Elephas maximus indicus: one gene and its partner. The protein of the gene in region 1 interacts with the protein of each later gene in a pairwise test. Links are inferred from orthologs where the notes say so. Each region holds a gene or a part of one and is shown on either strand. Other genes may lie near its edges.

Evidence for each region. The genes of interacting proteins can lie anywhere in the genome.
Region 2: the proteins of GIT1 (region 1) and HMOX2 interact in a two-hybrid assay, tested with the Homo sapiens proteins (2 studies listed by BioGRID and IntAct). The link is inferred for Elephas maximus indicus from reciprocal best matches to the Homo sapiens genes GIT1 and HMOX2.

Annotation. Positions count from the first base shown.
Region 1 is NC_064837.1:22,374,507-22,382,317, forward strand, and holds the start of GIT1 (ARF GTPase-activating protein GIT1), read left to right. Parts: upstream 1-4,387; 5' UTR 4,388-4,596; coding exon 4,597-4,648; intron 4,649-7,811. Other genes in the region: ANKRD13B (ankyrin repeat domain-containing protein 13B), read right to left, coding at 354-467. UniProt on the Homo sapiens protein: GTPase-activating protein for ADP ribosylation factor family members, including ARF1.
Region 2 is NC_064830.1:62,538,536-62,546,736, reverse strand, and holds the start of HMOX2 (heme oxygenase 2), read right to left. Parts: upstream 3,312-8,201; 5' UTR 3,250-3,311; intron 3,191-3,249; exon of another isoform or gene 3,166-3,190; intron 1-3,165.

The DNA of each region.
Region 1 (7,811 bases):
ACACATGCAGGAGGTGTCCCTGCCTGGCTGAGTGAGGCAGACTCTCTCTCACCACATGGAGCACAGACCGACCCGGCAGCCCCTCCCCGCAGCTCTCACCGCCCCGGAGGCGGTGGGGCACAGTGTTCCCCACCCCAATCTGAGAGGGTCCGGACCACGTGGGGACCGCCCGTCCCGGCCCCCGCCCGCTCCCATCACCCTCTCCGGTCAACAAACACAAAAGCCGCGGCTGCGAACAAAGAAGCGCTGCAAACTCGTCGGTGAGGCGGGACAGCCCGCGCCGCGCCCCCTCCTCACGCCGGGCGGGCGTGCCCGGCCGCGGGGTCTCCGCAGCGCCCCGACGGCGCTCTCACCTGGCCGGCGCGGACCTCCTTCTCCAGCTCGCGGTAGCGGTTGTACCACACGAGGTAGTGCAGCGGGTACTTGCCCTCGGGCCCCTTTCTGGCGGAGGCGTTGGCGGGGATCATCGCCCGCTCCTCATGCCGGGGCCGCGGCGCCCGGCCCGGGAGGAGGGACGGCGCCGGAGCCGGGGCCCGGGGCCGCGGGGCGGGGGGCCGGCGCTGCTTGCTCGCAGGGCTGCGGCTCGGGCATGTGCGAGCGGCGCCGGCGGGCGGGGGCGGCGCGCCCGGCGCGGTGCGGGCGGCGGGCGTCCTCGCGAGGAGGCGCGGAGAGGCCCCCACCCGCCCGGAGAGGGAGCGGGCACTCGGCTGCGCGGCGCGGGCTCGCGCCTCGCCTCCCACACCCCCGCACACAAAGACGCCGCTCGGCGGAGGGAGCAGGCGCCCGCAGCGGGCGCGGGGGCGCACGGGGCGCCGGCCCCGGGGACGCCGCCGCCGCAGGGACGCGCGCCCGCAGCCCCCGGCTCCTCGCAGCCGCATAGCCCGGCCCTCAGCCCCAGCGGCCGGCGAGGGATGTGGGGATGCGAAGGAGAGAGGAGGGGGACCCGGGTACCCAGGGCAGAGCTTGTTGTAGCCCGGCCCCGCGGCATCATGGGGCTTGTAGTCTGCCTTGTGGAGTTGGGGGTGGCAGGGGACCAGGGAGGGTACCACACTGTCCTCCTGCTCCCAGGAAAGGGCTGGGGAGGAGCCAGGCCTGACAGAAACGGGAGCAGCGTCCTGACGCCAGGTGGGCTGGGGGCACCCCCACCCACTTGATTTTGCCCTTTGTTGGGGGTCGGAGGGGCTGCAGAGCTCCCTTGAACATTGAGGGAAGGGCGGTGTGTGGCCTTCAGGATTGAGCGTGGGTTCCAGGGACTGTGAGCATGAATCCAGATACCCAGAAGAGAGCGGCTGATGCAGGATCCCCGAGAAGGGTGCAGGGCATCTGTACTAAGGGTCATTGGGGCAGCCAGGGGTCTGGCACCTGAGATTTTTCTTAGGAATCCTCCCTGCCTTCTTAGAACATTCAACTCCATCTTGCACACTTGACATTGGAAAGAAAATGTCCACTCAGGTGAGATCACCCCCCCCAGCACTGTCCTCAACTACGACTAGAGTGGAGTTGAGCAGGGAAAGCAGCAGGTGGCAGCTCCCCACCCCACCCCATGGGGTCCCCTCAGGAGAGGAAGTAGCCGATTCCAGAGACTGTCTCCTCCCTGGGTGACCCCAGGGCAGAGAGGCCCTTCCAGAACCGGCCCAGCAGAGGGTGTGGTAAGTGTGGAATTGGCTTCTGGGGCTGCCTGTTGTCAGGGCTGGAAGGACCTGGAGGCTCGGCCCCAGGCCGGGAGAGGCGGGGCTGTGATGTCAGAAAGACCTGAGCTCTAATTCAGACTAACTCAAATTGCTTAATATTTCTGAGTTTACGAGGCCACTCACCTCTAAAATGAGCCTCTGGATACTACCTCCTTGGGTGAGCTAAGGATAGTAACTGCCCTCAAAACGGCGCCTCCCTCCGCCAACCAGGCCGACTGTGACAGGTGGCAGGACCAGGCACGGTGCCTTCTTGAGCCCACCTTAGAATAAGGCAGGAATGAGGGATTCCACGCCAGCCCCCCCCCCACCTTGAACAACAACAACCCAAGATGTGTTTGTGTGGGAGGTGCCAGCAAATGCTTGCAAACTCTCCGCGCCTCTCTCAGGTTTTTGTGTGCTCTCCTCTCCCTCCTCCACACCCTGCGGTGCCAGGCCCCGGCGGGAAGAGATGAGGGAGGAGCGCAGTGCCTCGCAGCTTCTCCAGCCTGGGAGGAGCCAGTTGGCGTCTCCGGCCGCCAGAGGCCGCGGCCCACCTCGGCCACAAGGGGTCAGCAGAGTGTCGTGGCGGCGGCCAGAGCTGGGGAGGGGGGCTAGGCCGCGGGGAGGGGCGGCCAGGAGTGGCTGTGAGGATTCTTGTACATTTCCTCATTAAATTGTTTTAAGAACCTTGTGTCTCATTTTCTTTTAGTTGCCCTGCTTCGGGTAGTGGTGACATAGGGAAATCCAGAAACTCTTTTCTCCCTTACCCCAATCCCAGAAACTCGGCTGTGCAGGGGCTCGGGGTTTCCGAAACAAAGTTTGGAGAGTGGATCGGTGCCTGGGCCACTCCCAGGTGGTCCCCGGGCCAACCTGGAGATGGGGCGGGAAGCGAGGTCAATCAGTCTACTTCCCTGGAGAGCCCTGGAGCCCAAGGAAGGGAATCAGCCGGGGGGGGGGGGCGGGGAGGGCCGCCCCCTGGGCAGCGGGCTCTCTTTTCTAGGCGATCGTGGACAGTAAACTGAGGCCGGCTTTCCCTCTGGCCTGCGCGCTCCGGCTGCCACGTGCTCGAAACGCACCCACACACCAGAGAAACAAAGCCCAGCGGCCCGGCTGCCAGGAGCCACCTCGACATTTAATAAATGAAATTTCTTAGCTGAGGGTCGATCGGGGGTGAAGCAGGGGGCCCCGCTCGTGGGCTGCGTGCCGGATCCAGGCGGCCAGGCAGCTCCTCCGGCCGCCTGACCTGGGACCACTCAGCCCGCGGACTCCTCCATGCCGACGCAGCATGGGGCGGCAGGTGGTGTCCCCTCCTGACACACTCCAGCCCCGCGAGGTATCTTTGCTTACAGAAAGCCCCGGCAGCTGAGCTGCTGGCAGGGGGGAGGAGAGGCCTGCAAGAAGGTTTTTTTAAGGTGCGATTATAAATATACCCGTGGATCGCGATTTCAAACAAACTTGTCAATCTGGGTTGCAGCGAAAGGCGATGGAGGCAGCTTTGCGTGTATTTCGGGTGGTGTGACTCATGAGCATTACTTGTCTCCCCCAGGGAAGCAGCCTGCCCACCCACAAGTCACTGCTGCTCGGGCACCGCTGGGAGAAATCGACCAACTCGGTCACGCCTGCTCAAAGGCTCCCTTCCCGTCCTGGTTACCGAGAACGCCCGGCCACTGGGGAAGCCCTCCCTTAACCTTGCCACCGCAGATCTGGTCCCCAAGTTTGGTCCTCCGCACCCCCGACCCTCTGCTCACAAGCCGAGGGCCTTGGCCTTGTGCCGCTGCAGGGCTGGGGGCTGGGTGCACGCGGGGCACACGTGTACCGGGGAGCATGCTCAGTGCGGGGTTGCGCCCACGTGCGGCCTGCGCCTCGGCTCCCTGTCCCCCGCCTCCCCCCTCGGGCCTGCCTGCCATGTCTCGGTGACAAGTATGGGAAGAAAGACCGTCACAAGAAACGGTCCGTGTATGTTGTACGCACACACCCTAGACGCATTTGTGATGGAGGTATACACGACGGGTGACAAGGGGCTATTCCGCACACAAGGCACAGTGGTCACCTCCTGGGAGGTCTTTAAAAGCATCCCAATTCATTCCTTTCCGGGTGAAAGCACGGAGGGAGTGATAAAGGTATTTTTAGCCCGGAGGCAGGGGGATACACTGCTTGACCTCTCTTGCACCTGGGCGTCCATATTGTTGGCGGGGGGAGGGGGTGGTGCACTCAGCAAGAGTATGACCACACATACACACTGGCACACTGGCGTGGGCACATGGGGGCCAGCAAGACGCACACCTCACCCCAACCTGAGAGGAGCGGGTACGCCAAGCCACAGCTCTTTGACCGGGAGGGGGCATCGGCCTCCAGGCCTTCCCTCTTCCCTGGCCCCTAACCTAACCCAGCTCACCGTCCCTAGGCCACCCTCCGCCCAAAAGCGTAGGGAATGCGGCTGCGAGGTTGACTCACACCGACTGCCTCTGGGCCTGGGGGCCGCCGGAGCAGATGCGGGGGCCGCAGGCGAGGCCGAGGGACCGCGGCCCCTTTAAGCGGCCCCGCCCGCTGCCGCCCGCGCTCCCGGCTTCCTTTCTCCGGGAGGCGCGGCGGGGCGGGCGGGGTGGGCTGCCCCTCCCCCGGTGGGCAGGGCCTGCGCCGCTTCCTGCAGGAGCGGCCCGGAGCCGCGTAGGGGGCGGAGAGAGCGAGCGGCGAGCGGCGGCGGGGCGGCGCGGGGCGGCGCGGGGCGGAGGGCGCCCGAGGGCGAGCGGGCGGGCACCGCGGGTTCCGGGCCGGCCCCAGCGGCGAACGGTTGGCCGGGCGCGCGGAGCCTAGCCGGGGCCTTGCGGGAGCCGGGCCAGGCAGCAGGGGCCACCGCCGCCGCCCGGGCCCGCCGCCCGCGCCCCCCACGCTGGCCCAGAGGGCTGCGGCCGCCTCGCCGCTGAGGATGTCCCGGAAGGGGCCACGAGCGGAGGTGTGTGCGGACTGCAGCGCACTGGGTAAGCGGACCGGGGGCGGGACCGCGCACAGAGGCCGCCGCCGGGCGGGCGCCGGGGCCTGGCGGGAGCGTCATGCGGGGCCGGAGGGTGGGGCGGGGGGCTGCGGCCTCTGGCCTCGTCCCCGCCCGGGCCACTGCGGAGCCGCGTCTTTGGCAGGTGGGCCGGCCTGGGGGCCCCCTGTCCCCTCGCGTCCGTGGACAATCGGGGAAGGACGTTCCCGGCGCCTCCTCCCACCCCTCAGCCTGAGGGAGGCGGGCAGCTAGCTGTCCCCCCCCCCACACCTCCATCTCAGTATCCAAACGGAAGCTCCAGCCTGGGGTGGCAGGAGGGCTGTGGCGAAGGCCCGGAGGATTTCGAAGGTGAGGGCGAGGGTGGTTTGTGTCATCTCAGTGCCACCCCCGCGCCTTGCACCTGCTGCTCGCATGGTCTGCGCTCCCGCCGGGGTGGCGAGGGCAAGGGGCAGAGAGCTGGGTTGATGTGCGGTGGGGCCCTGGTACTGTTTCCTCAGGAACAGATGAGGGGTGGTTACTCCTAGGGCTCCCTGCCTCTGGCTCCTAAGGCTGGGGCCCCCTGTAAGGCCTGGTGTTCAGGGTCAGTACGAGCCTGGGCATCTTCCCTGGAGACATCGTAGGTCTGCTGGTGACTGGAAACAGCTGGACTCGGCTTTTCCTGCTCACCAGTGAGGCCTACTTGGGAAGGTGGGCTTGGAACTGTCCCGGCCTGGGCACAGACCCCTCCCAGCCCCCTAGTCAGGATCTGACCAGGATCAGGTAGGGGGCAGTGGCAAGGGGTGCCAAATTCCCAGAATCAGGTTGGCTTCCTGGCCTGCTTCCTGGCTGTGTATACTGAGGTGTTTCCCTTCCCAGCAGAGTTGGGTTCTGGCTAGTGTGAACCCCCCTGGCCTCCTGAGGAAGTGAGGGGCAGTGACCTCAGAAGCTGCTCCTTTCTGATGTGCTTGTGCTGGAGCTCAGCAGCTAGCCCGGGGAAGGAAGCCCTGACACTTGTCCGTTCTCTTTAGAAAAGGAGCTGTCTTCCTGAGAAGACTCAGGAGTCTCTGAACTCCAGGGTGACAGCAGGCACAATTCAGGGTGTGGGTGTGAGATGATGTTCTGTGTGCTCGTAACTTCCAGCCACCCCTTGGGTGGGACCCCAACAGGTTGAGCCCCACAGATGTTCTGGTGGTTCCCGTTGCACCAAGCTAGAGTGTTTAGAAATGGTGCATGCCTGTCAGGGCACAGGCATGAGGGCTTTGTGGGTGCTTATGACCCTGAGGCCTCCTCTGGGGGAATGTAATAGTCTGGAGGGCCCTGGAGGAGCTATCGGGTAGGGTGCCATTGCCCTTTTTTGACTGAAAACTATAACCCCTTCCCCCCAGCTGCGGGCAGATTGAGGGATGGAAGGGCTAAGAGGAGAGCTTGTCTTTTGTTTGTCCCAGGCTATTTGCCATCTCTACTGGGTGGGCATAGTGTGGGGCACCAAGAAGCACTGTGGGGAGCTTAGTGGTGACCCTTAAGGGGAGCCTGGATTTTAGAGTTGCCTTTGTTTCCAGCTTACTCTGTAACCCTTGACTAGACTTCCGTCACTCTGGGCCTCAGTTTCTTCAGCTGTAAGGCAAAGAAATTTGACTAGAAATAGTTTTTGAGGGTCCTCCCATCTCCAGAAATTTCTCAACAGGATGGATCAACACAATAATCTTAGTAATGGGCTCAAACACATGAAAGATCATGGAGATGATTCAGGACTGAGCAACTTTTTTTTCTGCCGTGCGTAACGTTGCCACGAGTAGGAGCCAACTCAGTGGCAACTAATAACAACCCATCTCCAAGTCTGCGGTCCTGACCCTGGGGCAGAGGGACGGAGGGCAGCGTCAGCAATGCAGTTGTCCTTTCTCCATTGCATCTGAGTACTTGCCTGAAGTCTCTGGGTGCCCAGTAGGCTGGGGAGGAGTGGTGGGAAGCTGGTGTGTCCTCAGTCCTTGTCCCTGACAGAAATATTTGTGCCCCAGGTACCTCCTTTCCCCCTGAACCAGAATATAGGTCAGGAAGAGGCAGGTGATGAGAAAGTGAGGATGGTGAGGTGGGCAGAGTGCTGCCAGTCTTACCACCGCACCTTGGCACCTACTATGGTGTCTGGCACATAGCAGGCACTCCCCAGGTGTTTGGATGCTTGTCAGGACCCGGGCTGGCTGCTTGGGACTATCCCGTACTCCCACTGTACAACATTAGTCCTGGCATGGAGGGTATTCTCCAGGTACCATAGCAGCCCAGGTAAGAGCTAAGGATACCCGGCAATCTGGAGTCCAGGCCCAGGGCCAAGCCTTGGTTGTGCACTTCCCGCCCAGGGTCACAGACTCATCAATGTGATAGGAGTCCTGCAGTCCAGCCTGGGAGTGGGGTGGTAGTCTTTTTGTGGTTGGCTAATTTTAGGGGGCATGGAGGTGAAAGATGAGGTACAGCCTAAAGGACCTGTCCTTCCTCTGCTTTCAGTTCTGGGCACAGGGGACCAGCGTGAATATGTGGCAAAGCAGCTGAACATGGCATGGCTGCTCTCTTGCCAGGCACATCCCTGCCTGCCCTTGAGACTCCGCAAGAGGGGCAGGGGTTGGGAAGTGTTCCCCATTCCTCCTCCTCCACCTACTGTGCCACACAGCCCCAGCCCGGCTCTCAGGGGCCTACTCCTGACCCATGGGCCAATCATCTTGACCTTTCCACTATGGCAGCCCTGGACACAGAGATGAAGATGCCCATTCTATGGGCACCTCGAGTGAGCAAGGCTGGCCACCAGCTGGTGACATGTTACGGGACAACCTGCAGGCTCAGTTGTCTCTTAACAACACAGATGGAGGAATGGGGTGAATTGTGGGCTTTTTTCCCTTTTCTACCGAGCGGTAACGTGTATATGGTAAAATGCCTGCGCTGTACGTGTTCAGCCTGATGTATGTTTGTTGGTGCGTGTGTATGCCGGTGTAATCACCACTCTAATCAAGACACAGAGCATATTCAGGACTCCAGTTCCTCGTGTCTTCCTCCAGCAGTGCCCCCTCAAAGTAACAGCCATACTGGCGTCTCTCCACATGGATTACTCCTGCCTGTTTTCCAGATGGTGGGCTTTTCCCACTTCTCTAGTGAGGATCTGGGCCTGGGCGCAGTAGAGCAAAAGTGAG
Region 2 (8,201 bases), on another chromosome or scaffold:
CTCCATAAGCAGACTAGACAGCACTTAGCTTACTTTTAAAATACTTGCCTAAAATGTATCATATAAACAAATGCATGTTCGCTAAAAGTCTTCTAGAATTATATCAAAACGACACTGAAACCTATTTGCTGAGAAAAGCCTACAGAATTTAATTCCTGATTTGAACTACCTAGTTAACAGTGCAGAACATTGCTGAGTGAGGAGGATCTGAATACAGATGTGGTTGACATGAAGACCCAGAAAGAGTTCCCATCTCCTCTTCAGTAGGCCATGATCACACTTTAGATAGTCTTTTGACGGGCTGTTTGTAAATGAATCCACTTTACAATAGCTGTACGCTTTAAACTATTTATGACAAACTCCAACAGCATTACTGTTCTCTAACTAAAACACACTGATGGTTCAGAAAAGATTTCTTGCAAAATACATTAATAAATGTCACTGCATATTCTGTAAATACATTTAACATTGTTAGACCAGCCCATCAGTTACGGGCTGCCGTATTTCAGTACTTGTGTCAAATTTATTAGAAATTTTATAAGAAAACTTCTGATTGACTCAGCTGCCTTTATTAGCTGACTTTAAAAAGTGTCACAAAATGGAAGACAACACCTTACAATAAATATGTGGAGTTGATTTAGAAAAGTAAACTGTACAGTGGACAATATTACTATCAGAGTGATCACCAAAATGAAATGCCTTCCAGTACAAAAAAAGGGAAGACCTCTATACAAGCAGTTATCTCAACAATTCCAATTAAAGATTCATCTCTCACTTGTTGCTGGCAAAAATTAATGGGTAATGGCACTGTTTCCCAGCAGTGCAAAAATATCCTGAGAAATTACTCAGATTACAACAAAAGAAACAGAGCTTTTATCCTATGGTTCTGCACAAAACAAAGCTACTAGATATCATAAATAAGCTAAGTTTAAAAGCAGATAATCTTCACTGTGTTAAACACAGAATAACAGAAAAAAGGTGTCTATAACTTTTGAGTTAACTATGGCCAATAACGGAAACTCTGGTGGCGCAGTGGTTAAGAGCTAGGGCTGCTAACCAAAAGGTCCGCAGTTCAAATCCACCAGGTACTCCCTGAAAACCCTGTGGGACAGTTCTATTCTATCGAATAGGGTCGCTATGAGTCAGAATCGACTCGACAGCAAAAGGTTTGGTTTTTGGTTTCAATGGCCAATAATATACAAGGAGATAATCTGCAGTTCAAGTTTTCCTCTGTTTTCTCTCCCAGAAGTTACAATCTGAATTCTAAATTTTACACCAAAACATACAATTCCAATTTCCAAAAAGATCTTACTTGTAGAGGAATGCTATTCCAATATTTGGTGCAATCCTGATACAGAGCCCAACAGTCCTACAAAAAGTGAGCTTTTAAAAGTAAACCAAAAAAAAAAAAATCATTGATTTGTAAACTTTCACTTAAAGCACAATAAAAATTATTAAAAAATATATATATATCAGCGGTAGCCCAAAGGTCCTAGCTGTCCAGTTCTGCAATTCTTCAATGGGCTTGAGGGGTAAGCTAAAGGTAATAAGCACTTTACTTTCTATAATTCATTTTCTTGTTGGCATAGTCACTTCTACAGTAGCTCATATTCCTGACACTGGGAACTCACAGCATCTCTTTATTGAGCAAGCAAAGGAAATCAAGTGGACAATGGGGAACCACAGGATTTCCATCTTCACATCCCCGGTTAATGAGCTCATTCATTTAATGACTGTGTATTTCCAAGGTCCTTTGAATTCCCATACCCTCACCAGTTTTTTAGCTTAGGTACTATTTTTTAAAACTCTTTCCAGTTTCACTAGATAAACTTGTAAATGCCCTTAAGAACTGTGAACTCCTGGTAACCAAAGATTATATCTTATGATGCTTCTTGGAAAAAATCTCATCAACAAACCACAGACTTCCTAACATACTCCTTATCTTCCCCTACCCCTATCCCACAGAAGGAGAAATGGAAATTGTTATAAGGGAGTTAAAATTATCAAACAAACACACACACATAGACACAAACACAGGGTAAAGCCATACCAGAAATTAAAATACACAAAACAGTAAGCTAATGTTTCCTTTTACTGGAGAGGACAGTTTAGCAGGAGGGGTAAAATCGCTTAAATAACATAATCCACTTCCAATCTTAACAATCATATTTAAAGAAAGAGCACCAAATCTGGAGGCAGATGACCAGGTTCAAGAACATCTGGGCCAATCTCTTGGTTGTGGGATCTAGGTTAAGTCACATAATCTGAATCTCATCATAACTTTCATTTCACAAGTGGAAAAACTCCCAGGGTTGTTGAAAGGGGCCAATGAAAATCTTTGAGAAAGCGTCATAAACTATAGGGCACTATAACACTGCCTTTTTTAATCACACTCCACATTGTCTGGTTTAGGTATCAAGACACCACAGTGAGGATACACAGCCACAGACCAAAATAACTAGTTCATTAGAATCATTTCAAATGGCCTGAAACACACAGGTCTTGTGCAAAGACTGTGCAAGGCAGTCCTGGCAGCTTCTACAAGGAAATTATTACACCTGTGCTTCTGACGTGACAGGTAAACTCCTCGTCCAGATTAACCAGCTGCCCCTAGAGCTGATCCCTCTCAATCGCGTAGAAGTCATGATAGTGATTCAAAGGGCACCACTTCCGACTGTGAGTCAGTAAAAGGGCTTACCCCCCCCAGGGAATGCCAATGGTCAGCACAAGGCCCCACGCCGGGCACCAATCTCCGACGTGCGCGAGGGTCCGGTCCTCCCAGGCCCAAAAACCGATGGACCAAGCCAGGCTGGCGGTCAGAAGCTGCAGCGCCAATTTTACAGCCGGCCCGAAGCTGCGACCCACGGGGTCACCTCACCAAGCACCCTCGTGATATTGGGAGGGAGTGGGCCCAAATGAGCCCATCAGGCCTTCCTACCTCCCTGCTGAAATATCCTCTTGAAAGCGGCGTCTCCAGCTTTCACCCTTACCTGTCACTTTCCCCACGCCCGTCCCTGTCCCCCGGTTCCACTCCTTGGCCCCGTCCCCAGCGTCACCCCGCTTCCGGCTGCCCCCCACCCCGCAGCGCCCCGGGCCGGCCCTTCTCTCGCCGTTGGTTGCCCCCGAACCCCGGCGCCGCACCAGGAACGCAGCGGAGGGCAGTACCCGGGCGGAGGTCAGGGCCCGCCGTGGGGGTAACGCGGCCGGATGAGCCCGGGAGGAAGGCCTTGGAGGACGTGAGCCACTCACCAGCCACGGGTGCACTGCGCCGGTCCGTCAGTGGCACCGCCGCCGAAGCCGAGAGCGCGAGCTTGGGGGCGGTCGGACGTGTACACGCAGCGCGTGGGGGCGGGGTCTGTGGAGCCTGTGCTGCGTGGGGCGGGGCGTGGGAAGGATACGCCCCCTGAGGGGCCGTTTGCCAGGAACCGGACACGCAGCCCTGGTTTGGCTGTGGAAATAGGGATGCTTCAGAAAGAATGCTAACATTATTAATAAGAGCAAATGTTTATGAAGACGCCTCTGGGCTACGCGCTTTGCTTGCCCAATCTCATTTAATGCTATTAGATCCATCCAGTTATGCAAGAAATCGAGTCGTCAACCTTAAACACCATCCTCTTTTCCTTTTGCCAGTTCAATCCTTCAGTTCTATGCGGCCCTGCTGCAAACGTATTCCTCGACTCTGCACGCTTCTCTACATCTCCTCTGCCACCAGCCTTCTATCTGGTCTCCCAGCGTCGGCCTTGCCTCATTCTCCAAACAGCAACCAAGGTGATCTTTTAAAAGTCAAAATCAGAGCATTACTCCTCCCCTCTTGCTAAAACCCTTCCACAGTTCCCCATCGCTCTTAGGACAAAGGTCAAAATCCCAGCCATGGTCTACAGTTCTCCTCCCCCTGGCTAGACCATGCCACCACCTCTTCAGACTCACCTGACCTTCCCTCCACCTGCCCTTTCTGCTCCAGCCATACTGACTTCCACTTATTTCCTTAACCATCAGTCAGCATACAGATTAAAAGATGCAATATTCAGCTTTGGCAAACCTCCTACATGCTGTTCGTAGGAGTTATTGGAGATGGAGAGAACAATTTGACAAGATCTGTTAAAATTTAGAATGTGCACACTCTTTGACCCGCTTCTAGGCAGCTATCCTAGAGGAATACTTGCAAGAACTCCAAGAAAGTAACAAAGAAGGGTCATTACAAAACATAATAAGAGACTCCATTTTTATGAAAATTTTGGAACAACCTAAATGTCCATCAAAAAAGGATGAGAGAGTTGGCAGTGGTCATCCATTCAACAAATAAGTTGTGCCACAATTTAAAGAGGGGGGGCAGACCTCACGTAGTGAGGACATGGAAAACTCTTCAAACATAAAGTAGAAAAGAGGAAGGAAAAAAAAAGTCGTAGGAAAATACATTCAATAGATTCCACAGCACATAAATTAAACTAAAAAATTATTGAACACTAGTTAATGATGTGAATGATAAAGTTTTTAAGGGCAAAGAGTACTAGCGCCTGCAACTTACTTGGAAATGCATCAAAAGATTAGATGGTTGATAGATGGTTAGATGGAAAAAGATATCTGATAAAACAAATATAGCAAAATTTTAAAAATTAAAAAAATGTAAGTGGTAGGTATACAGGTGCTCGCTGCACAGCTCTTTCCACTTTTCTCTATACTGTACTTACAAGTTTTCAATAAATTTTTTTGGAAAATACACTCAGTATTGATATGGATTGAATTGTGTCCTCCCCAAAAGAAACATCTTCCACACTAACCCCTATACTTGAAACATGATCCTGTTTAGAAATAGAGGCTTTCTTTTGTTTTTAATGAGGTCATACCAGATCCCTTCTGAGTGGTGTCTTATAAAAAGCAGAGGGGACACAGAGATACACAGAAAGGGAAGACAGACACATTTACAATCAGCCAAGAAATGCCTGGGATTACCCACAAGGAAAGACCCTCCCCTAAATCCAATGTTCTGATTTAGGCTTCTAGCCTCCAAAACTGTGAGACAATAAATTTCTGTTCTTTAAAGCCACCCACTCGGGGCAGCACTAGCACAGTAAAACAGGTTGATCTCTCTCTCTCTCTTTTGAGTCTATGAAATTATTATATATTTCTACATGTTCATGTGTAGGTATATAAATACATCCAAAAACCCCAGAACGTTTACACACTAAAATGACAGAGAGGTCAAAGTCCACTTTTGCTTTACATATACCATTTAAATTTTTTAATGAGAATGCATAAATGCGTTATGTATTACTTGGCTATAAAAAAATAGATTTTAAGAAAAGGAAGTACATTCTGCACTTCCCTCTTTTCCCTACTCTGGCCACATAAAATTGAATTAAGCTGAATGGCAGTGATTGAAGGAGCAGTTGCTGTGAGAGTTCAAATGAGATAATGTGGGGCTTAGCTTATGCCTGCCACTCGCACAACCCCAGTCAAGGGCTCCCACTGTTATCATGAGTGTATGCCACTGAAGTCCTTTGTCAGATACAAAGTCACACAGAAAGTGCTGAATCATGATAGGGTGCACCAGCCAGTAGCTAATCTCTCCCCTCATGTCTCTGGGTTGTGGGTCGTGGGCTGCTTGGGGCCTTGTCTTAGTTACCTAGTGCTGCTACAACAGAAATACAAGTGGATGGCTTTAACAAACAAAAATTTATTTTCTCACAGTTAGGAGACTAGAAGTTCAAATTCAGGGTGCCGGCTCTAGGAGAACTTCCTTCTCTGTCAGCTCTGGGAGAAGTTCCCTGACTCTTTTCAGCTTTTACTCCTGGGCAATCTTCATGTGGCTTGGCATCTGTCTTCCTACATCTCTGCTTGTTCACTTGTTTAATCTCTTTTATATCTGAAAAGAGATTGACTCAAGACACACCCTACAATAATCTAGTTTTGTTAACATAACAAAGAACTCATCCGCAAATGGGATTATAATCAAAGTAGGGGTTAGGATTTACAACACATATTTTGGGGAACACAATTCAATCCATATCAGGCTTCAAAAGGCAAGACCTTTGCCCCAGCCTGTCAAGCTGCCAGCCCACTTCTGGAAAGTCTCTGGGCACCAGCACCACTGGCTGGCAGCCAAGGGTAAGCCACTTTTTGCCTGTCCTGATTTCTAAGCTTCAGGTTCAGCAAGGCCAGAAGGCACTGGGGTTGCTCTGGTCCTGACGCGGCCCTGGAATTTTACTCTTAATTAAACATGGGCATGTAACCTAGGCAATTAAACTGGGTCTCATGCTCAGAAGAACTTTAAGCTTGGTTTAATGCTTTGCTGTTGCCATCTTGAAATTCTCAATCATTTTTTAACAAGGGCATTTCATTTCCATTTAGCAGTGGGCCCCGCAAATTAGTTGCTGGTCCTGCTGGGGACCTTCTTGTTTGGATTTATTTCCTTAAAACAGAGGCCTGGGAACTTTGGATTTTGTGGTTTAACTCCATGCAGCTGAAGAAAAACTGTTACCAGAATAAGGTTCTTGCCTCTCTGGTCAAGAATGAGCAGGTAATGTTACAGGGCAAGGCTTCCCAGCCCAGGACTAAGCCCTGCCTAGGTTCTTACCTTCTTCTGAGCAAGAATGACCAGGAGAGCCTCAGAGGTTCCACATGAAAAAAGTTTATTAGGGACAGAAAGAAAGTAAAAGGCTCATGAAGGAGAGAGAAGGAGAGGGGTTTCCACCTACACTAGCCTCCAGTCTCTCACTGAACAAACGATTTCCTAGGACTTATAAAAGTTCTTAGGAGGGGAAAAGGCATTACTTTTATTCATTAAATGAGTGGAGATTTCCAGGAGAAGGGGAGGGATTATGAAAATCAAATGCGCACGCAGTTAGAATTCAAGATGGACTTCCTGACAGAGGTTGCTGGAACCAAGATGGAGGCTGTCACAAAGGCTGTTGGGATGTCGAACAGGACTTATTCTGGGATGTCGTGCATGCATGATGCCCCTGGATCTTGGTTCGAGCCCCAGCGAGTGGTCTTTGTTCGTGTTTGTCTTACGTGGAAGGTCATTCATAGCCCACGCCGATCTTTACCATGCATGCGCTGCACCTAGTGAGGCCTTGAAAAACAACTGAGGAGAATTATCAGTAATTTATAGCTGGTCAAGAACACAGGGGCTTGAAATGTAGCCCCTTATCTTGTCTAAGCACCTAGTTTGTTAATCACAAGTAGTTCTTGGGTGCCAGCAATAGAAGTTATCTGGTAGTCTGCACTTAGGTTTAGATTTAATTATAGCTGGTCGAGCACCACACAGGGCCTTGAAACGTACCCCTCATTTAATTCAGCCAGCCTGATCTCTTCCGTCTCTGTGAGGCACGTAGAGTTTTCCACAGGAGCAAAGCTTTATTGAAGAGGCTTGCAAGTAGAAGACAGGCGGGCCTAAGCAACCCATATCCCCATCTCACAGAACAAAAGATCCGCCCGGGGTTTTTAAAAGTTCTTGGGCGGGAAAAGATTTATGTTTATTCACAGGCATACCCAGGGTTATGTTAACTACAGCGCGCGGGCAGCAACTTTCCAAGGTGGCTGCTGCCCTGGAGGCCTCTGGGATTCGTAGCAGGACTTACTATGGGGCGCCGCGCCTGCGCAGTCTCCTGGCTGCCACTGCAGCCCTTCACTGCCCCTGGTGGAAGGTCACACAGTGGTCACAGGTGGATGTTCTGCACATGTCCCTGGGGCTGGTTTTCTCCAGCTGCTTCTGAAAGACTACTTTAAGGTTTATGGGCTATTTTCTGATACCCTGCCCCATTGTTCTGGGGAATGGCTTTGTTTCTGCACCCTGGCCCATTTCTTGTTACTTTGTTTGCAGATTTGGGGGGCTCTCTATTCCCTGTCTTAAAACCTCATCTTTTATCAGATTGATTTGTACTTCATTTTTTTTTTTTTTTTACCATTGACTAGGTATTTACTGAATTCCTACTATGTGCTGGACAATGTACTGGGAGGTAGAAGTACAGAGACAAACAAGACATGGTACCAGCCCAGACTAGGGGTCAGGGAGGGCTTCCTGGAGGAGGAGATGCTTATATGGAATTCTGAAGAATGAGTAGAAGTTAGGTGGTGGTCTAAGCACAGAGGCATGACATACTATGGTATGGAGGAGACTACAAGGGATAAGGAAAACCTGGTGGGGCAGTGGTTAAGAGCTAACCAAAAGGCTGGCAGTTCGAATTCACTAGGCACTCCTT